Linked DNA regions of Struthio camelus. The protein of the gene in region 2 interacts with the protein of the main gene of each other region in a biochemical or structural test. Links are inferred from orthologs where the notes say so. Each region holds a gene or a part of one and is shown on either strand. Other genes may lie near its edges.

Evidence for each region.
Region 1: the proteins of PEX5 (region 2) and DDO form a complex in vitro, tested with the Homo sapiens proteins (2 studies listed by BioGRID, with this or other methods). The link is inferred for Struthio camelus from reciprocal best matches to the Homo sapiens genes PEX5 and DDO.
Region 3: the proteins of PEX5 (region 2) and PEX7 form a complex in vitro, tested with the Homo sapiens proteins (3 studies listed by BioGRID). The link is inferred for Struthio camelus from reciprocal best matches to the Homo sapiens genes PEX5 and PEX7.

Annotation. Positions count from the first base shown.
Region 1 is NC_090944.1:60,569,962-60,576,965, reverse strand, and holds the start of DDO (D-aspartate oxidase), read left to right. Parts: upstream 1-3,952; 5' UTR 3,953-4,224; intron 4,225-5,276; exon of another isoform or gene 5,277-5,562; intron 5,563-5,948; exon of another isoform or gene 5,949-6,333; 5' UTR 6,334-6,455; intron 6,456-7,004. UniProt on the Homo sapiens protein: Selectively catalyzes the oxidative deamination of acidic amino acids. Suppresses the level of D-aspartate in the brain, an amino acid that can act as an agonist for glutamate receptors. Protects the organism from the toxicity of D-amino acids.
Region 2 is NC_090942.1:90,422,143-90,430,002, forward strand, and holds the start of PEX5 (peroxisomal biogenesis factor 5), read right to left. Parts: upstream 3,031-7,860; 5' UTR 2,919-3,030; intron 2,510-2,918; exon of another isoform or gene 2,414-2,509; 5' UTR 2,389-2,413; coding exon 2,239-2,388; intron 1,877-2,238; coding exon 1,841-1,876; intron 1,668-1,840; coding exon 1,535-1,667; intron 901-1,534; coding exon 766-900; intron 1-765.
Region 3 is NC_090944.1:74,137,318-74,144,334, reverse strand, and holds the start of PEX7 (peroxisomal biogenesis factor 7), read right to left. Parts: upstream 3,053-7,017; 5' UTR 2,994-3,052; coding exon 2,873-2,993; intron 1,415-2,872; coding exon 1,357-1,414; intron 199-1,356; coding exon 48-198; intron 1-47. UniProt on the Homo sapiens protein: Receptor required for the peroxisomal import of proteins containing a C-terminal PTS2-type peroxisomal targeting signal. Specifically binds to cargo proteins containing a PTS2 peroxisomal targeting signal in the cytosol.

The DNA of each region.
Region 1 (7,004 bases), on a different chromosome or scaffold from region 2:
TCCTAAAATTGATACTAAATTTTATTAGACAGACTTGCAGTTTGTCATGGGCCTACTTTCTGGGTTAAATAATGGGAAGGAGAGCAATTATTATTACCTTAATGCTAACTAAAGAAAAATAGTAAACATGTGTGATATTTTGGATCTACTGTATTTTAAAACTTTGCTAACAAAGACATATTTCCTACTCCAGTTCTGACCTTAATTTCTTTGTTTAAATTTCTATAGTTTAATCAACTGTGTAGGAAAAACAGCTATGCAAACTGCGTGCACAGTCAGTACCCTGAATGTCTGAACAAGGGAGGGAACGGCGCCTGAAGGCTGAGAGGCTTTGTGCTCTGTGGAAACGGGAGACTGTCTGACATCCCAGCCCCGGGCTAAACCCTTAACACGAAGCGGCTTAGGGTTGCGCTCTGCAGCATGCAAGACCTGTGCGCTTACAAAATGCAAGGTGTTGGTGGCTGCAAAAAGGAGGGTCTGGTTTATGCATCCTTGCGAGGTGCTTTAGGTTCAACTCTAAAGGTGGAAGGTCCAACCATAGTGGAAGGTTTTGTTATGAGAAATAGTGTGTAGAAGATGAAAGATGTTAAGAATAACTCACCGAAAGCCAGTTCAACTATTTGTTTGTTAAAGGTGAGAAATTTGAATAATTCCTGATACTAATTTCAGGAGCAGCGGGTTCAATCAAGTTGAGAAAAATCAAAGCTTAACTAAAACTCACATCCTTTTCTTAATATGATTGATGTATTAATATGATTGCAAAGAGATGTATACAGAAAACAGCTCTTTCAAAGAAATCACTAGCTTTTTATTTTAAATGCACAAAGATTGTGGTTAACCAGAAGTAATGAGAAATATCTCATTTAGTGACAAACCAGCACTTCTCTGCATTCTTGTCTAACACACAGGCTTGGATAACGCTCAGGTGTCTGTTGCAAATAAGTAGAATCCAACCATGGAGAATTCACAGGCATCTAGTTACTCATGTTGCCTCATAATATTTCATATGTACAAGGACTGACTTGCACAGGACTAAGAAAAAACTTAGCACCAAGGAGCAATTCGAATGCAGACTCTCTCCGAGGTCTCATTGCTGCTGATGAGAATCAAAAGCAGTTTTGACTGAATTGCTCATTATCATAGCAAAAATATCAAGGATATATGGGCAACCTCTGAGTACATATTTTCACAAAGCTTTTCAATAGGCATGTCAGTATTGCCAATATCTTTCTCTGTATTGAGAGGATTCCCTCGGGAGTCATGAGAAAACAGTAAAATGAGGTGCAGTGTAGCTTCTCTGCTGAAATGATAACTTGCCATGGACAACGATGCTTCACTTCCTTCACTTGGAACTGGTTAAGGAAGAAGCGATGGAGAAGGGATCCATGCCATTCATAAGATCAGAAACAGGTTTGTACCGTGATGTTCATATAGGTCATTTCTGGTTATTGCTACTGCTTTTTTCAAAAGCATACAGAAAGAAAAGGGAGTCCTAAGTTAAAAGGGAGCCTTTCTGAAGCGCTGCCCTGGCTGGGTTAGTGGTGTGCTGAGATGCTCTGCCACCACGCGTTACCGTTCAGAAACGCCTCCAAGTTCTGTCAGTGCCGTGTTTGATTTATGCCAGATGCCTGCCTATCTCTTCCTGCCTGGCCAATCCAGGAGTTGCACTTAGTCAAAAGATACAATAGCCACTATCACAAAACCTGGCAGGGGCATTCTTGAGATATAAATAGGGTGAATGTTGTACTTGGAGTGCTATTTAGCCAATTATTCGTTAATTCAAAATTACATACGGTGCACAATACACAGAATAATGCATCCACAAACATCCTGGGGGTCTTAAGCAGTTGGGGTATTATGTGGAGCAAAGACATGTCCCCTCTTGTGCTTTTTTCCCATCTTTTAGGAGAAAGTGCTGACATCTATAGCAAAAACTGGTCATGCCTTGAAGGCCTCGGTACAGAATGACTTCTGTTAATCTTCTGTTCATAGGGGCCAGGGCTGTGGGAGTTAGACCAAAGATGCACTGTATTGTGCCGGTCATTTTAGTAAGGAACAGAGATACAAAAAACAACGGTAGCTCTAGAAATTTGAAATTGCTTCTCTTCATAGCTGTCTGCATAGATGAACATTCGTTATGGAAAATCACACATGTAGCTTATATAGAAGGGGAGGACAAACAAAACTCTTCATCCTAAAATCTGGTGTACATTAGTTATGGGAACATCAGTAAGGCACAGTGTGTTCCAAAAGACTTTAGCACACGGAAGAGTAAGAGCTTCTCTATGAAACGGCCACAAGAGTTGGTATCACATGGGCAAATCAGCTTGTTTGCTGGGTCTCCTTCTCAGGAAACGATACACCGGGAATCCCCCAAAACTTTCGGGCCTTGCGTAAACATCTGACACAAAGGTTTTCAATCCGAATCCTTCAAGTTTGGCAAAGTTATAAGCAACTAGAAATAGAGTATCAGAATGAAAAACAGCAGGCAGTTTTAAACTTAGCTGGCACTGTGACCTCTGTTTGTGTTTGAGGGAGGAGAGGTTTCCGAATCTGAAAGGTTCCTCTCCAAAATTATAGACATCCTGCAGTCACTTAAAATAGTGTGCATTTTGCCATAAATGCCTCACGCCCATCAGCTTTTTCACTTTAAAGCAAACCAACCTTTGCCTTTCTTTCTGCCTCCTTCCCTATCTAACCAGTTCTCTGTTTTCTTACATTCTCAAAACTTGTAGAGAAATCAAGCTATACAGTTACTCTGGCAGAATTATTCCTCATTTACTTCACTATTACAGAGAAAAAAAAGCCACAGGAACTATGCATCGAAAAAGGTCAGCGATTAGCATAGCTATAATAAACCTGGTCTTTAGTTTTTCCATTTAAGAACACAGCTAGATTCTTTGAAGAGTTAAAAATATTTTATGTGCTCAAATCTTCCAAACGGGAAAGAAGTTCGTACACATTGGATTCCTTATCTTGTAGCAGCTCTTGGATGCTCAAACGAAAGTCTGCTAAGTTGTGGCTTTGCAGGATTTGCGCTCTTTTTGTAGGATCGAGCTCTGTAGGCGTGTAGACATTCGGGAGGCGAGAATGATTCCTCAGGTGCTGCGCACACAGCTGGCGTGTCCTTAGTCCTGCTGGTGGTTGCACGTACAGATGCTGTCTGGGCAGCTGCCTGCTCTTCGTTGAAATGCCTGTGAAAAAAAGGCCTGTTTGGCAGGTTCCTGGCAAATACTGTTTGACAGGGCGAGGGCAGAGCAGTTTCCAAACACCTGAGCCGTCCTGCATCTGTTCAAGGCCTAGTGCTACGGCAGGCAATTATTAGCCGAAATGTCGTGCCAGAAAGGGAATATCAGTTCTGGAGGTGGGTCTGCACGAAGCAAACCCTGTCTCATCTGTAAGACACAGAGCTGCCGTATCACAGGACAAAGTAAGGCTCTGACTAATGAAATTATGGTCCTCAAACCATTTTGGCAAATGTTTGGCTCTGTGCCCATGAGTCCCCAGGCATATGAGATTAAGCTGGACCAGTTATTACCCGCGAGAAAGTGAACTCTTCCCATGAGGAAATTGTGTCCTGGAGCTGAAAACCCCTGGTATACAGTTTCATCAAAATCCCAGTGATCCTGCAAGCAGCTTTATTTTTTGACAAACTTGTGTTTTCTGGTGAAGAAGATTAATCAAAAGCAGCCTGACTAGCCAGGCTCACTAGTCCTTTGCCACTTAGCAGGGACTTGTTCTTCATCCAACTGGGATGACTAAAAACAGGCCTGCAGATACGCTGCGCTATTAAGATCCTGATTACCACCATGATTACTCGGGTATTTGGGCAACCCCAGCGCAACCTCAGAAACATTAGGAACATGATCAGTTGCTCGGGAGCGAGGAGAAGAGAAAATGAACTCTGCAGGAAAATCACCAAGAAAAAAAGGAAATCAGCGGTGGGTGAAGCAGGGCAGAGCCGCAGCCGGCTGCCGGCTGCCTGGCTCTCCCGGGAGATGCGCCAGCTCCGGCGGCCTTTGCCCGGGCACAAGCAGCTCCTTCATCAGCGGCAGGGAACGAGGAGGGCGGGCGTCCGGGGAGCAGCCAGCGCGGCGGGGTCGGTGCCGGGCAGCCCCGCGCTCCTCCCCACCAGCAGCGCTCCCTCCCCGTCCCGCTCGGCCGCCCTGCGCTTCCCGGGACGGCAGCACTTCCAGGCACCGCCCGGTCTCTTTCCCTCACCAGGTATTTCCCTTCTCTCCCTCCCACCCCCAACTTTTTTTGTTTTTCAGTATCTCATTCCAGCTCCCTCCCGCTCGCCGTGGGAAATCAGGGCGCGGGGGGGTCCTCTGGCTCTGCGCGGCGGGTGAGGCGCCCACGGGGGCCGTGCAGGGCTCCAGCGCTGTGCTAGGACTTTTCGGCAGGATGCAGAACAGCTCCCGAAGCCCGTGCGAGGAGGGGTTTAGGCCGCGCGCGGAGGCCGGCCGCGCAGCAAAAGCTCGTTACGGCACAACTTGCTCGGTGGCAGCGCTCGGCAGAGGGTGTGAAACCCCTGGCGTTTGGGAGGGAGCTCAGAGGCGCGATAAGCCTCAGCTCCCTCTGCGCTTTTTGCTCTCGGCCGAACAGAAATGGAAAACAAGTTTTCCTTGCCCGGGCAGAAGCAAGAGCACCGCTTGGCTCGGGGGCCTGCTGCGGCCGAGGTTACTGCCGCTCATAACCAACAGCGCGGGCACAACCTTCCTTGCTTTAACAGGCATTTCCCAAGCACGCTGCTGGGACCAGCTACCTCAAAGCGTGTGAGGAGGAGAGGCCGAGGAGCTGGAGGCCTCCCCGGTAGCCTCGGACTCTCCCCTACAAGCGGCTCAGATGCAGGTGGCGGTGCTGGGAGCGTGCGTGGACCCAGCGGGAAGGCTGAGGAGGGTCCCGGACAGCTTCCCGCCCTGCGGCGCCCCTCGCTCGGGGAAGGGGGTGTCTTTGCCTCCGGCCCGCGACGAAGAGGCGTCAGCCCCCCTCAGCTCGCTGGGTCAGGCAACGGGGAGCAAAGCCGAGGGGGCTGGTAAAACGCGGAGGTAGATAAATCTACCAGTGATCTGCCAAAAAAGAGTGTAAGCATGTTTTTTCGGCCTGGTCCCCGGGCCGGGCTGTCAGGCACGCTGACAGAGGTCAGTCTGCCGGGGGAGGCAGCCACATGGAGAACAGGCCACGGCGAGGGGGCCGTGCCGGTAAAGCAAAGCTGTCACAGCAAAAGCTTTAGGCTGAGGCATCCCTCTTCGGGCTGAGGGATGCCTGTTTCCCAGGTCTGTCTGAGCCGGAGAGACCGCTGAAGAGGCAGCCCGCCCAGACAGCTGGCCAAAGGGCCGGGCACCTGGGCACGTAGCCGTATTAATCATTTTATCCACCGCTAAAACGAGGCTAACTGGGGCGGCTAGCGGTGCTCGGGCGACGCGGGAGCTAAGAAAGGAAAAAGAACAGATCTCGTTTGAAAAGCTGCAGTTTAGGCCCTCCACGGGTCGTCACACACGGCTGAGCTTGTCTCACCGCCTGCAAGAGCTGGAAGACTGAGTCACACCACGAAATACCACGGTATTTTTACCGAGAATATCATTCTGGCCTTGGAGGGGCAGGAGGGGGGCAGGGGCCGTGCAGCCTGCGGCGGGGAGTTGGTAGCCGCTTTGCTGGGGAATCGCCTGTGCCTCTGACTCCTCCTCGCTCTTCTTGGTTTCGGTCCCAATCTTCTGGCGCCAAGAACGGGCAAAGAGCTAAGCGGCACCTAGCTCCCCCCACCCTCCCGCCAAAACCCTGGTTGCTGCAACTGGTTTTGCTTTTTAATATCGATTTTTGCAAAACTCTCAGCAAAAGCCAGCCTGGGTGGGGGGTGGGGGTGAGGGTGGTGAGACTTGCCAACTAGGATTGAGCTGGCATGCCACATGGGATAAAAATAGGCTATCCTCATGTGCCTCCTCGGGTAGGTCCACAGCCCCTGCCAAGACGGCTGTGCTGCCAGCCGCACGAGCGCAGGTAACTCTTACTCTCATTGCCGTGTTGTTAGCTCTGTAAAACCCACTCTGCTTGCTTATACAAGCTGGGTAGCCTCTAGCCTCTGTTTGGCACCAGTTTTTGGCATATTAGGAGGTTAAGGCCTGATTTGCCCCTGTACAGCAGCAGTAAGCACTAGGAAAAAAAGGGCTGGTTAGTTTTTCAGTTGTGAGTTGTGGGTGGCCGTGGGAGGTCAGTCGGGAAATCCGATCTCCATCGTGGGCCGAGGGCTTCAGCGAGCGTCAAACAAGAGAGGTGAGGGGCAACTAAGCCTGGGTCTTTGGCAGATGAATAACGTGTCCGTCATGTATGTCCCAGGGGCGGCTGACGAAGCAGGACTGGGTTCATCCCCGGATTGCTCTGAGGCTGTGAAAGTACTCGGTGGGCATGCAGAGAGCGGCATACAATTTCCACTACAGCTGCCAGTGGTGAACGAAACGGTTTGTTGTTAATTACAATGCTGTGAGACACTTTTTTTCAGAACCTACTTCTTTAACCAAAGCAATTTCTGAATTAAAACTCCCCTCATTTTCGGTTACTTTTTTTTCTTGTTCTGTTTCTAAATAAAAAGACTAGTGCAAAATATTTTGGAGAATGCGGGAGAGAAGTACAAACCGCATGACCTGCCAAACGGGAACCACTCTGACATTCTGTAGAAATTCCTTTTGCAGTTGGTTCAAGCAGTGCCTCGTCTAGGAGGCTCTGGGGCAGTGGCTGAGCTGAGAGACGAAGCTGACGTTCGAATCAGTATTTTTGCAGATTGGGTTTCTGGGTGGCAGCAATACAGGTCCAAGGTTTTGGTGCAGGGTTCATCTTTACCCCAGTGCAGTGCCCTTTTTCTCTGCTGCGTGGGCACTTTCATAGCTGGCTTGCAGCCGAAGATAGAATAATTAACAGGAAGACTCTTAAGCGTTGCCCTGAGAGGGAGAACAGGGGCTGTAACGACGCTCAGCTGCAATGCCATGACGGGCGACGGTGCCTTGTCCTCT
Region 2 (7,860 bases):
AGAGAGATGCCACTGCAGTAATATGCCAGCGTCCTTAGGATTTCCTACTTCAATTTCACAATTTACTCTGTTGCTCTGTGTGAGATGCCATGTAGGTCAGGAAAATTAGCAATTTATTACAAGTCTCTAGTGCTTTCCATCAGGCCCTAGCAAGCGTTGAGGCTTTATGGTACCTACTCCCAGGAATATAAAGAGAGAAGGTGAGTGAATGGGTCTACCTGGCTCTCTACAGTGGCTACTCCTGGGGGAAGAGAATAGCATCTATTTAAATCGTTCCCATCATTTCCAAGCTAGGTCATAGATGGTCACAGCTCTGTACACAAAGCAAGATGGCTTTTCAGATAAACTAGTACCTTGCTTGGAACACAGAGCTTATCCTATGGGTCAGAAACACACATAAACAAGAAGAAGCAGTACCAGCCCACCTCCAGAATTTGCAGCGGTTTGAATCATATTTTTTTTTTTTTTTTTATAAAAACAGTTTGAATAGCCTGCTTCTACTAAGTTTTGCAAGTAATCCTGGCTAAAAAAAAAAAAAAAAAAAAGCCCCTTACACCTGAATAGGAGCATCCTCACCGGATAGCGAGCAATTTGGCTAAGCTATTCCAAAGCAGCTTCTTTTCATGTTCACACTACTACAAAAAACACTGACTTCTTGGGCCCAAACAGTTACTCCAATTTCATATCCAGTAACTTAACTCTCCACTGTACAAAAACATGCGACTGGGCAACACCTCAGCCTTACTTCCAAAAGGGAGTCGTCACCTGTCACTTCAGCTATGAACTCCTGTGACCAGTCAGCCTCGTTGTAGTCTGAAGAGACATCACCAGTGCCATCTGCCTGAGCCAAGAACTCCTGGGTCCAGTTTTCAGACAGCGCCAAGGCTGCCACACCTGGAGCTACAGGAAGAAAAACATACATGAGGATGGGAGGACTCAGAGACATGATTTAAATGTCTCAGGCTCCTTCAGATAGCCATCATCTTCTCTGATCAGGTCCCTTTCTCTCTGTTAGACCAGAATCACAGGAAGATTTCACTTGAAAGGGAGCTCTGCAGGTCTCCAGTCTTCTCACAGCAGGGTAACTCCAAAGCTGGATCAGGTTGCTCAGGGGCTTGTCCAGGCAACTACTGAACATCTCCAAGGATGGCGATTCCCTGGTCTTTCTGGGTACCTGTTCCAGTGCTGAATCATCCTCCAAGGAAAGAAACTTTTCCTTACATCTATAGACAGTTTCCCTTTTTACAACTCGTCCCCACTGCTTCTTGTCCTTTTGTTGTACATGACTGCAAAGATTCTGGCTCTGTCTCCCCATTACGTAGCTGAAGGCAGCAATTAGATCCCATCTTAGCAATTAGAATCCTCTTCTCCAAGCTGAACAGACACAGTTCCCTCAACCTTTCCTCTTCCATCATGTATTTCAGCCCCCTGACATCATCTCACAAGTGCTGAATAGAGGGGACCCAACCTACTGGGAGCCTAACCAAACTACAAAGGTCTTTTCCTGCTCTCCACATACTGCAGCGCCTCTCACCTCGCTGAGGGGCCTGTCGGAAGTTTGACTGCTCAATCTCCTGCATCTCAGCCAACAGGTCATCCATCTTAAAGGTCTGGGGTGCACGGGACAGTAAAGGGGCATTCTGCTCTTGCAGGAACTCTCCAACCAACTGCGAAAGAGACAGATGGAGAGTGAATATAGTGCAGAAGACAAACAGGCAAAGTAATGGAGCATGCGAGAAAGGAGCAGGCTAGGTAGAAAGAAAGAACAAACAGAGAAAAAAAGTATCAACTGAAGTGTTAAGAGAAAAAGTAGTAAGGAAATATATCAGCCTGTTCTTACCTCATCTTCAGAGGCCACTCCCAGCGGTTTGGATACCTGCAGGGAACAGTGGGCAATCACCCCAACAGCTTTGACACTGTACACCTCACACACCAAGGCCTGATAAATTCACATCCTCCTCTTCCTCGAAGTTAGGCTAGCAGCACTTTCTTAGCACTACCTGCCTGCTTACGCAGAAGCCGAAGGAGAAGAAACAGCCCCAGCGATGTTTGCCTAACTGCTCCCGCTCTGGGCCGACCCCCACGGCAGTAAGGCACGCAGTCCACCGCAGCCATCCATATCCCCCCCAAAAAACCAGTAGGGCCCCCAGAGTCCCTCCGGCCTGCACGCCCCCACTCCGCGCTCACCGCCCCCCACCGCGGGCAGGCCCCAGCCCGCCCCATCGCCGCGGCACTCACGGCTCCGGCGCCGGGGGCCCCCCCGGGCCAGCTCAGGGGGCCCTGGAGTCCTTCCTGCCGCAAGGCTTTGTCCTGCGTGAAGTGGCCGGCCAGCTTCATGAGGGCGTTGGAGCTCCCGCACTCCGGTTCCACCAGCTCCCTCATGGCCATGGCGCCAAACCCCGCCGGGCCTCACCTGGCGCCGGGCGACACCGACACGCGCGCAGGCCCCGCCGTGAGCGACATGGCTACGGCCGCCGCCCCCGCCCGGCCGGCCCGGTCGCGCCGGAAGCATGTGAGCTGCGGGGGGGGGGGAGGGGGCGCCAGGCCCCCCCGCCCCGGGGCAGGTCCTGGCGCAGAGCCCTGGCTCCGCGACGGGCCGCCACGGCGCCTGCTCGGCCGAGGGCAGCCCGGGCGGGCACAGTCACCAGCGACGCGCAGGAGCCCCGCGCCCTGCCGCTGCCGGGCAGCGGCGCCCCACAGGCTGGCAGCGTCTCCCCCCCTCCCTCTCTTCCTCGACTCGCCCGCCAGAGGAGCCCCCTCGCCAGGGTGGCAAGGCCGCAGCGCCCCCGCCCAGCCTCGCAGCCCCCGCCCGCCCGCCCGCCAGTCCCTCCCGGGCCACCAGCCCGGGCGGCGGGACCCCCCGCGCCGCCCGGGCAGGATGGCGCGGCCCGGGGGGCTCCCCCCGTCTAGTGCCTTACCGTGGGTCCGCCAGGGCTTGCGACGCTCACGGGGCACGGCGGGGCGGGGCTAATCCTTAAAGGAGCAGGCACCAGCGGCGCCCGTTAAAGGGGCAGTGCCCCGCCGGCTCCCGGCGCGCAGGGGCTGCTCCGAGCGCGAGGTCTGCACCCAGCCGGTGCTGGCCGGCGGGGAGGAGGATGGGAGGCAAGGCTCTCGGGCCGCTAAAATATTGCAGCTGGTGGTAACAGGTAAAAACTGTGCATTTAGCTGAAAAGTATGTAGTAGCCATAGATACATAGTAGCCATTAGATAAGCCATAGAAATGTCAACTCCTTAAAAGTTTTCATCCCTTTTGCCACATGTGTGATCCCAAAGGAAGAGCACCGGAGAAATCGGAGCTGATACAATCATAGCTTCTAAAAGAAAGGGAGAACCACGAAGAGGGGTTTGCACGATGTATGCTGCCTCCTGTGACATTAGGGTGCTTTAAAAAGTATTTGAAGAATCAAATCCTGTCTCCTCCTTCTCAAAAGGAATATGTTCCTCTGTAACATCCCTGCCACGCTTCCTAGATGCAGTTCATCTGACTAAAAGCTGATGTCCAGTGCTGTTTTAGACACTGTATTCCTTGGCAGTAGATCTTCTTGACTGCTCCCCTCACAGCTTTGAAATTCACATGACGTCTATGGCAAGCAGCATGGTTCAAGGGAAACAAATCTCTTCAGAGATACAGTTGGGGCTGGAGAGCCTAGATCTATACCAAACATGTTTGAGCGGTTTGCTTTGGATTATCTCTTCCCTGACCCCATGGACTGAACAGCAATTAGTGCTTGAAGTGCATTAGGTATGCTCTCAGGGCACATCTACTAGCTTAGTTTCCTCTGAGAGGAGTCTAGTTTGCACACTCTGAGACTGTTCTGCAATATGAACCAAAGCACAGCAAGTGAGGATGACTGGAAGATTCACTTTGAATGCCCGCTTCTGACATCAGTTCAGGCACTAATGTGGAAGGAAGCACCCTACATCTGGCAGGCAGCTGCATTAAGACATCAACACTTGAAAAGCCATTGACATGACCGCTCTTACACATAGAGCCCTAGGCTGCATGTGTCATGTAAAGCTGGTGAAATACATTTCTTTCTTCTAGATGTCTGCCTTATGATATTGCTCTCTACTTGCCTGCAAGTTGTAGTCAACCTAGGACCAACCTGGTCCTTCCAGTGTGAAGCTCCTGGAATGAAAAACAAGACTTGCCAACTATTAAAAAATGCTATTCCTATACATGTGTAGTAGGATCGAGGGTCAGTAAGAGCCTGTGAAAAGAGACAGAGGGAAGAGGCTTTTGGAGAGACTCCTCAATTATGTTTAAGAAAAACAGATGGAGACAGTGCTGATCCTAGGGAAAACAGTAGACTGAACAAAGCTGTAGATAGGAAGAGTGTAGGCAGTGAGATAATAAGGCATGGGCAAAATCCAAAAGCAAGTGAAGGAGCAGTGAAGAACTGCAGGTGAAGCAGCTTTGACTCATAAGCATTTGTGTCAGGATCTTGAGGTGCATCCATGACACTAGCTTATGATACCTGTTCAGCCTGTCTTACTGGTTTAGGGCAGGGAGACGCAAAGACAGCTCAACAAGAATGGCATCACTGCCTCCATTCCTCAGCCTGGAGAGCAAGAACAGGCACCATAGGAAATGTACCCGCTCTCATTTCTGCTGCCTGTAGCAACAAGACACAAAGAAATACAGCCTCTCTTCTTTTGCCCTCCCATCTTTCTCTTCTCATGGGAAGACAGTGCCTTTTCCCTGGCTCTTGGCTCCCTTCAGGCACACCCAGACTCCTGCAAAACAGCACTATGACTCTGCACACCACTGAACCAGTTCTAACATTAAAACCCTTTGATCTACTGAAAATGTGACAGTATCATTTGCACCAGTCTGAAGATAGCCTGTAGGAGGCCTTGGAGAAGTATCTTCCACAGCTTGACTTTCAATCACACGGTTTGCCGTTGTCCTAAGGCTAGAGAGTGAGGAGTGGCTGCCCCTCTCCCCCCCCCCCCCCCCAAAAAGGAATAGGAACAGACCTTGCAGGGTGAGGCTGTCTGGGTCTTAGACCCAGAGCAAAAGAGCCAGGAACAAAAGTCAGATGCTCATTTATCCTTTTCAGCGCTAAGAGACTGTGCTGCAACTAAAGGAATCAGAAGTGGCAGTAGTGGCAAAGCATGTAGGACCACGACAGCTATAGCTGTCGGTGGGTGAATTTCCTGCTGAAGCCACAATTATTTCTGTTTGCAGAAAGCATAAGAAGGTAGAAAGCAAAAGGTCCAATCTAAAGTCAGGAGAGAAGACTTCAGTCTGTTCAGACACATGCCTGGAAGAATCCCATGGAATAAAACCCTGAGGAAAGAGGGGTCCAAGAGAGTCGGTTGATATTCAAGGATCACCTCCTCCAAGCTTAAGAATGGTCCATCCCCATGAGCAGGAAATCAAGCAAAGGCAGCAGGAGACCTGCATAGATGAACAAGGAGCTCCTGACTAAACTCAAACATAGAAAGGAAGTGTACAAGAACTGGAAGCTGGAGGAGGGATACAAAGATACTATATGAGCAGGCAGAGATGGGATTAAGAGAGCTAAAGCTAAAGTCCAGCTAGAGTTGAAGCTGGAAGGGGACGTGAAAGGCAAAAAGACTTCTATAAGTACATAAGCAGCAAAAGGAAGGCTAGGGAAAATCTGGGCCCGCTACTAAAGGAGACAGAGGCACTGGTGACAAAGGACACCAAAAAGGCAGAGGTACTGAATGCCTTCTTCGCCTCAGTCCTTACTGGTAAGACTGGCCCTTAGGAATCCCAAGCCCCTGAGACCAGAGGAGAAGTCTGGAGAAAGGGAGACTCTCTTGCTGGAGGAGGATCACATTAAAGAACACTTAAACAAACTGGATATACACAAGTCCTTGGCCCCTGATGAGATGCACCTGCAAGTTCAGAAGGAGCAGGCTGATGTCATTGCAAAGCCACTCTTGATTATCTTTGAAAGGTCTTGGTGATCGAGAGAGGTTCCAGAGGCCTGGAAGAAAGCAAATGTCACCCCCTACCTTCAAGAAGGGCAAGAAGGAGGATCAGGGAAACTACAGGCTGGTCAGCTTCACCTTGATCCCCGGGAAGGTGATAGAACAAATAAGTGGTCAGTGAGGTGAACTGAAAACTGGTTGAACTGCCGAGCTCAGAAACTTGTGATCAGCAGCATGAAGTTCAGCTGGAGGCCAGTCACTGGTCGTGTCCCCCAGGGGTTGATACTGGGTCTAATACTGTTTAACATCTTTATTCATGACTTGGATGATGGGACCAAATGCACCCTCAGCGCATTGGCAGGTGTCACAAATCTGCGAGGACTGGCTGATACACTAGAGGGTTGTTCTGTCATTTAGAAGGACCTCAGCAGGCTTGAGAAATGGGCAGAGAGAGACCTCATGAAGTTCAATAAAGGGAAGCGCAAGTCCTGCAGCTGAAGAGGAATTGCACTAGTACAGGCTGAGGGCTGACCAGCTGGAGAGCAGCTTTGCAGAGAAGGACCTGGGGATCCTAGTGGACAGCAAGGCGAGCATGAGCCAATAATGTGCCCTTGCAGCAGAGAAGGCTAATAGTATTCTGCACTGCATTAGGAAGAGCATTGCCAGCAGATCGAGGGAGGTGATCCTTCCCCTCTCCTCAGCACTAGTGAGGCCACATCTGGAGTACTGTGTCCAGTTCTGGGCTCCACAGTACAAGACAGACATGGATTTACCAGAGTGAGTCCAGCAAAGGGCCACAGAGGTGATTAAGGGACTGGAATATCTGGCATACAGGGAGAGGTTGAGAAAGCTGGGACTGTTCAGCCTGGAGAAGAGAACGCTGGGGGGGGGGGAGGGGCGGATCTTATTGATGTGTATAAATATCTGAAGGGAGAGCATAGAGAAGATGGAGCCAGATTCTTCTCAGTGGTGACCAGTGACAGGACAAAAGGCAATAGGCACCAACTGAAACACATGAAATTCCATCTGAACATAAGAAAACACTTTTTTCACTGTGAGAGTTGTTGAAGACTGGAGCACGTTACCCAGAGAGGCTGTGGGGTCTCCATCCCTAGGAATATTCAAGACCTGACCGGGCACAGTCCTGGGCAACTCTAGCTAACCCTGCTTAAGCATGGGGGCTGGACCAGATGATTTCCAGAGGTCCCTTCCAACCTCAGCTATTCTGTGATTCTGTACAGTCAGCAGACAGAGTAATAAAGCGAATGAGGCCTTGCGTGCAAAGTGTAAATATTTTGGCAGTGAGAAGTAAAATATCAAAAGAACCTCAGTAACTCTTGGAGAGGTGAGGAAAGCAGATGGTACAGTTCCAGAAAAGGCTGTTCTGGGCTCTGCATCACTCTGCCATTGTCAGTCTGAGGGTCGTACCCTGCTGAAGGCCCTGAGCCTGATGGAGACCACTGACAGACTGGAGGTCTCTGCCTAGCCATTTCCCTGTCTTATAATGTCATGTAGGATGAAGGTCTCTGCCTAGCCTTTTCTCCATCCTATTCCTTTCCAAGCGTAGAACTTCGCATTTGCCTTATAAATTGTGTTCTATTCTTTCAGGCCATATCTCCCATTTGGGAAGATCATTTGAATACTGATCTTGTCTTCCAAATTCATTGCAACCTTCACAGGTTAGTGTTGTCTGCAAATTTGATAGGCACACTTTCTAATCCACTAAATAAATCACTGAAGAAACTATTAAGTAGTACCACTCTGAGGACAGATCTGTGCAGACCTTCTTCTTGACACATTTTTCCTGTTAGACAATGTATCATTAAAAACTAATCTTAGATTAGGCGGGCAGTCAGCATCAGACTCTCCTAACAGTATTTTCAGTAGACTCATCTACCTATTTTCCAATGCTTCCTAGTTTGTTTGTAAGACTATCAGATGAAGCTGAATCAAAAT
Region 3 (7,017 bases), on a different chromosome or scaffold from region 2:
TCAAGCATTAGACAGTCCATTACAATTTTCAAGCTTGCCTGGTTTACCTCCTGAGTGTGCTCTTTATAGACTTGCAGTGGACCTGTGGTTTTAGCGGTATCCCAGATTTGCAGAGATCCATCCCCACTAGAAGTGATGAGCACATGTTCATTATTCTCACTCCACGTCACATCAAATAGACCATCATTCCAGTCAAAACTAAATCAGAACAATCAAGATATTTGTCCATGAGAAAGCGTGACATAAACGTCTGGATAGTTATATGCAGAGACAGTATTTCTTTAAATCACCCTCTTTAGCATTCTAAACATCCTTTTTAAAATATTTGATTTTCCAGTGAATCTCCTTACAAGTAACTTAGTTAATACCATGAAAACTTTTACAAGTGTATGTCAGAATAGGCTGATTAGGTTAAAAGCATAAATGACCCATGGATCTTCAACACAGAGAAACAAATCTGATTGTAATCTTGAATTTTAATAACAGTGGTAAACAAAGAAATAAAAATGTCTGTTTTGGAAAAGCTCTGTCCAATCCAGAACATCAATAAGAAGCTGAGTCAAAATGAAAAGCCAGCAGAAGGACAGTTATGAACATTTTAAAGATCTCCCTACACCCTTAAAAGGGCTTTGACACACCAACAATTCATCCTATGGGGAAAAAAATACCACCCATCAGCTGCTTTGCAGTAACTGCCAATGACCACGCTGCTATCTCATGGTAAATATGAAGTTATTTACCCCGTTCTTACTGAAGGCTCAGCTAAGCTCAAGTTAACTTCATGGGACCCTGCAGCAATTATTAGGAAAAAGCATGCACACCAAAAGTTTCTGTAGAGAGCATGACATAGCTCATGGCTCAGAAAATGACAGGACTTTCTACCACAAAGTAAGTGGAGTCTCTGGAAACATTGAAATGAACATTACTAAACCAGAGCATGTAGCAGAACTAATCGAGTGTTTAACAGCTGCAAATAGGCTTGCTGTATAATTATGAATTTAAAATTGCTTCTCTGAACATGATAAACTACATCATTGTTTGTTACATGTGTCTATTTCAGCTGTCAGAGTAAACTAAACAAATGGTGTTTTACACTTTAAGACATTTTTAAGTGAACAATGGCCGAGTATTAAACCCCCTCCCTCCTAACCTTTCTACTCCTTCTCCCATCCAGAACGCAAGTCAAATTCTTAGAATACCATAGCTCCTAGAAAGCACCTGAATGACTTTGCCCATGCACTTTCTGCTCCATTTCCAATACAGCCATTCAGAAGCGGACAAATTTAGGTGGCAAGGCATTGCTCCTAAAAAGCTAAAACTTCTACTTTCAAGCTAGTAAAAATAAACTTATGTTACCTTCTGAGCAGAACAATCCCAGCTTCATTTTGTTCCAGTACTACCAGAGTTCCACAACCTAAAACAACAAAATAAAACAAATTATCACAATTAATTCCCCCATGCCAGTAGAAGCTAGTGTTCTGGGGTAGTTATACAGTGCAAACATGGATGGCATTTGAATTTCTTTACACCTACAACTAATTGCTTCTGCCATTAACAGCTCCTTTTCTCTGCTTTATGCCTCTAAAATATTTTTTCATTTATATTTTTTTCTCCCAGTACATCTGTGGGTAAGGTTGGAAAAGAAACAACTCACTTGTAAAGAAAGCATAAAACGTGTGTTTCATCCACATGCCTTATGTTACAAGCACACCAGGATGGTGCTCCTTTAGATCTTTTGACAACACAACAAATGCAACACTTTTCTCCCTCTCTCTCTGAAAAGGGTACTTGGTAATACAAATGCAGCTCATCAAAAATAAAATGAAGAATTCAGTTCTAAGAAAATACACACAGGCACTATTCTTCTATGTGACCGGGATAACATCAAAGTAACATTTAGAAGCTTTAGTTAAAATTATCGCTTTTAGAGACAATACTGCTAGAAGAAATGAAAAGGGGTCCAATACTGCAAAAAGCTCAGCTTGGGTTTTCAGCAGGGCTGCAGAGAGCTGCCAGGCCTTGCCCGAACAACTCAATGACTGAGAACAGAATAATTAAAGTTTTAAGGAGAAAATATTTTCAGATACTTTATTTAACCTATGTTTGTCTCCTCTACTATGCATTTACTCCAACTCCTATGAAATCAGTACTCCTCTGAGAAGTTATTATTAGAAGTAAAAAAAAAAAAAAAGGAAAAAGAAGACTTTTTTTTTAAAAAAGTTGTTTTCTATTTTCTTAAGTAGGAAAACCTAGCTGGTGGGCGACTTCGGGGCAAGCATCAGATTTGCAGCTTGTTCTGAAATTAACTGTACTCCACGGAAAGAGAACAGATGCATCAGTTACATCCACGCGAAGCAAAAACAAGAGAAAGGGAAAACATAAAATGCTTCGCAAGCCACTTGCTACACGTGCAGACACACAGGCGCGCAGTTCACGGACTGCCGGTCTCTGAAGGCAGCAAACGTTTGCATGGCTCTTCAGCTCACAGCTCGTGAGCGCGCGGGCCACCCGCTTCACGGCAATCACTGCAGAGAAGCCTGACCTGCTCTTCAGACGTAATTACCGTAATAAAGGAAGACCTTGTGTCTGATAAACAGTAGAACAGCAACCGACCCAAGCCTTGCTGCTTCCAGTTAAGCAGAGCGGCCAACCACCACCGCAAGGCGAGCGCGGCAGCGACGGCCGCCCCCGCCCTGACGCTTCGAGAGGGCGAAACGACTCGACGCAAGCGGTCTCGCCCGCAGGTAACCAGGCCAGACCACTTCTTCCGTTGCTGTTGCTGTTGTTCTTCATTACGTAACAGCGCCGGAAACGCAACCCGCGCACCGCCGGGCGGACAGCCCCGCCGGCGCCCCCCCGGCCCGCCTCTCACCTGCGATGCCGTAGTACTGCGCGGCGGCGCACGCCACGCGCCCCGGCCAGTAGGGCGAGAACTCCGCCGCGTAGCCGTGCAGCCCCGGCAGCCGCAGGGCCCGGCCGCCCGGCGCCCCCATGGCCCGGCCTGTCGCCCCCCCCGGCCCAGGCGGGGACGGAAGGAGGCGCCGCCGCGCCGCGCCGCGCCGCCTCGCCGCGCCCGCGCCGCCCGGCTGGAAGCGCGGGGGCGGCGCTGAGGCCACGCCGCCGCCATCTTTGGTGCTGGCAGGGGCGGTGGCGGAGGCGGGCGGGCCGTGACGCTGCCGCCGCCTCCTGGCGCCGCTCCTCGGGGTCCTCTCGGGGCCGGCCGGGTCGTGTCCGCGGTGGCCCGTGTCCGCTGCGGCTTTCTTCTCGGGTCTCTTCAAAGACAAGCCGTAATTTTAGGCCGTCCTACTCGCTACTACCGCGCAGTGACAGCTATGCCTGCGTGATTCATGTACTCAAAGGTCGTTTGACCAGGACCAGGCCTCCGAGCGCTGACTACCCATTGTTTTGTGATAATTCTGTAAAACTATGTTTGCTAGAGAAAAAGATTTCCAAACTGCGTGGACAGTCCTTTCTTTTATACGCCATGTAAGATACTTAGCACCTCGTTCTCTGTTTGAATAAATGTGATTTTTTGATCTTAGTGGGTATATTGTCATTCTTTCAAAAAGCTCTTCCAAGCTATTTCAGTCTGTCATTTGCTGAGTAGATCTCCGTATATCAGTATGCATGTATTTATCATTCTTTGTTGTGAGGCAGTTACGCTTTATTGAGGTTCTTTCATGAACAAACAAACAAATTTTCTCATACCGATGACAACTTCTATTAAGCTAGTGGGAGTTTTGCCTCTGAAAGGAGGAGGGGTTCGGGCTAAGAAAAATATTTGAGCAGAGCAGCAGCTGCAACTTCTGATATATCTTATCCTATGTGAGATATAGGACTTTAAAATATTCATGGAGATGATTCCAATTGGACATAGGCTACCCTAATAAGTTAAAATGACCAATTTAAATGTGTAGAGATGAATACAGGAAATTCTTATTTTACACATGAAGGAAGTAAGACAAAGGGGAATAAGACAATTTAATCAGAGTCACCTCGTGGAGCTTGGAAGGTAACTACATACTCAGGCTGCTCCTCAGCCTTAAATTTAAACTACAAAACCTATTGTAAACTACAAAATTTATTGTAAAGCCTCATGAATATATAACTCCTTAAACTGACACTCACGTTCCGATCACTGAACTATGCGGTTTTACTAATTATTTGATCTCCTGATAAAAATGAAAACAAATATGTTTATCAAACAGCCTCCAGGATTTTAGAATAAAATCAATCCAAACAGTGCAAGTGAAGCTCAATGTAGCATATCATTGTGCTTATAGTAAGCACAAAAGCTCACAGCAGCTCCTATACTCACAACTACCAATTTGTAGATGGAATTACTGAGAGACATCATTTGAGATGAGTTTTTTTTTAACACTCAAGCAGAGTTTTTTTTTAACACTCAAACACAATGCCTTATTGAATTGACTGCTGCAGGCCGAATTCCACCAACTTTAGCCTCTGCGAAATCTTTTTAAATCAATGTGCCTTTTGGAAGCACACATCACAAGGCAATTTCCTTGGCAGGTGTTTTTAAAGTAATTGTCTTTTGTGACTGCAAAGTCAATAATACCATTCAAAAAGATATATACCCTCTGCAGTGGTATACTAAGTAAATCTGGACGTGGCCTTTTGCAAAGGTTTGCTCTGAGTTCAAGTACTCGGTGGCGTAATCTCCAGCTACTCTATGGACAAGTTACCACGCATACATCCAAGTATTGGAAAAGTTTCATCGTGTGCATTTTCAAAGTAGCCGACAAATCTAGTTCATCTTTTAGAATCAATAAAATTCCACAAAGAGGTTATGCAAGCAGGAAGCTGTCCTTACGACTGGCACAGCTCTGTTTTAAAGACAACTCAGAAAAAAATTAGACACATATCAAGAAGTGGATAGAGGGTTACAAAGAAATCCTGAAAGAAGGACCTAGTTTGTTGTAACACTTCCCTAAACATTTTTTCACAGAAAAGCTTGTGAATTCAGGTTTTTAAGATCCCTAGAAGTAGGAAGCAAAATAATATGCCAAGTAAAAGTATTTACATAGGAAGACTTCAAGGCAGATACACTAACAACTGAAGAAAAAGCTGTTTGACAAGCAGAGAGAAAGATCCAACAAACAAAACTGCTAAACGTGACTGTATTTCCTCCTGAAACAGGTGAGCTAAATTCAAGAAACATGAAAGATGAGAACAGAAATGTTCCAACAGCCAGCCCTTCACCAAAGTTGAGATAAAAACGTGTATGCAGAATGCATCAGTAGGTGGCAGCCATGTTCCACTTAAAAATTGAGATCCCACAGTTCGAGAGAAAAATTCCCTCACAACGCTGAGATTTTTTTCCTAACTCAAGCGCACTTCATTGAACTAAATTCCCATTTAATCAGCATATAACTTTTAGTTACGTTCCTCCTGCAGTCACTTCTCTAAGCCATCTCCCTTGTTAGAGTTAGACTAGGTAGTTGGGATGCTCACAGCAATATCTCTGCACGCAGTTTACCTTCTTCCCAGTCTGCTGAGCTCTGTTCTGTTACAGACATATCTCCACCATTTCCTCAGCTTGCTCACTGACAGCTAGCTTAGGTGTGAGTTGAGCTGGTAACGATCACTGCTGTATATACAAATCCTTAAAAAAAACCTCGCTGGTTGCCAGAAACAGTTATCAGGAAGGCACTAGTCCAAGTACTGAAAGGAATTATGACGAGAGTTTTTCTTCCGGAGAAAGCAGGTTGTGAACTATTCCCTTAGCTGTGAGGATAGGTGGTTTAAAACATTAAGAATACTTAGGGACTGCAGGAGACTTTTTTTCTGCTTTCTAGTTACAGAGCCACTAGGTTGCATGCTATCAAGTTTCTTCTACGATAGTGAGTGCTAACTGACTAATAGGAATGTAGAGATTTTCCCAGGTGAAATTCCTGTGTAATCAATAGGGGCTATGAGTCAAAGCTTTAAGAAAAGCATTTAGTGTCTCAAGGTTCATGGTAAGATTGCAAAAATAGGCAAGAGTGAAAGTAAACAAGGGAAAGTTGGGGAAAGGGGAAAGCAAAGGAGGTTGCAGGAATGAATACAGAGTCACACGGGGAAAGCGAGGTTAGTAGAAGGACAAGGCAGTTAGCATGGACGCTGTCCTGGGGGATTTGAAAGAATAGAAGTAAGAAGAGGGAAACACATTGGAAGGGAGGAAGAAAGACAGGGAGATTTAGCAAGAAGCGTGAGACTTGCCACGGGCACATTTTTCACTACACTTGGTCTGTCGTTCCACAATACACGGGCTTCAAGGCCAGTAATAACTGATGAAATAGCCACCCCCCACCACGTGTCCTTGTTGCTCCATCAGTCTTAGCTGATTACCATTTGTGGGGGCCATGCCATCATTTGATAAGTGAATTTATCATGCTATTACTACTGTTACACGATCAACTGCATCCCTGCAGAATGACCACCAGTCTCTGTTTTCCAGCTTCTTAGTACTTAAGAACTGCTTTAAATGTTTAGTTCCATCCTGCATTTGCCATTCTTTTTAAACTTGGCAGCTGGCACTCTGCTAGCAAAATGCTGCCCTCTCCATATTGAACATAAAGGATACCTCTGATTTTCTACAGTGATATATTTAACTTTCATTTGGTAGAAGATTTAACTTTTAAGAACAATTTGTTTATTTCAGTGATCGTATCTATTTGCTTGTGAGAGTTCTGTTCTAAAGCTCATGGAAACAGGATTAGTTTGTGTACTTTCAAGATCTCTTGTTTGGATTTTTGCATCTGCAAGTTTCTTTATATACTCTGTTTTCCACCCACAATTCAAGCACATTGGACTCTGGTTTTGCAAACTCCTTTTTTCCTGCTTATTAGTGAAAAATTTACAGCGTATCTCTAATCTCTCATTTTTGTATGCTGTCGTATAGTTAAATAAGAGGGTCTTAAAATATGGATGAAATTTAGCATCTGCTTTAAAACCCAATAACCATCAAGAAAACTCAACGGGCATGTTACTCTAGAATCTTTTTTCTGCCAGCCTTGT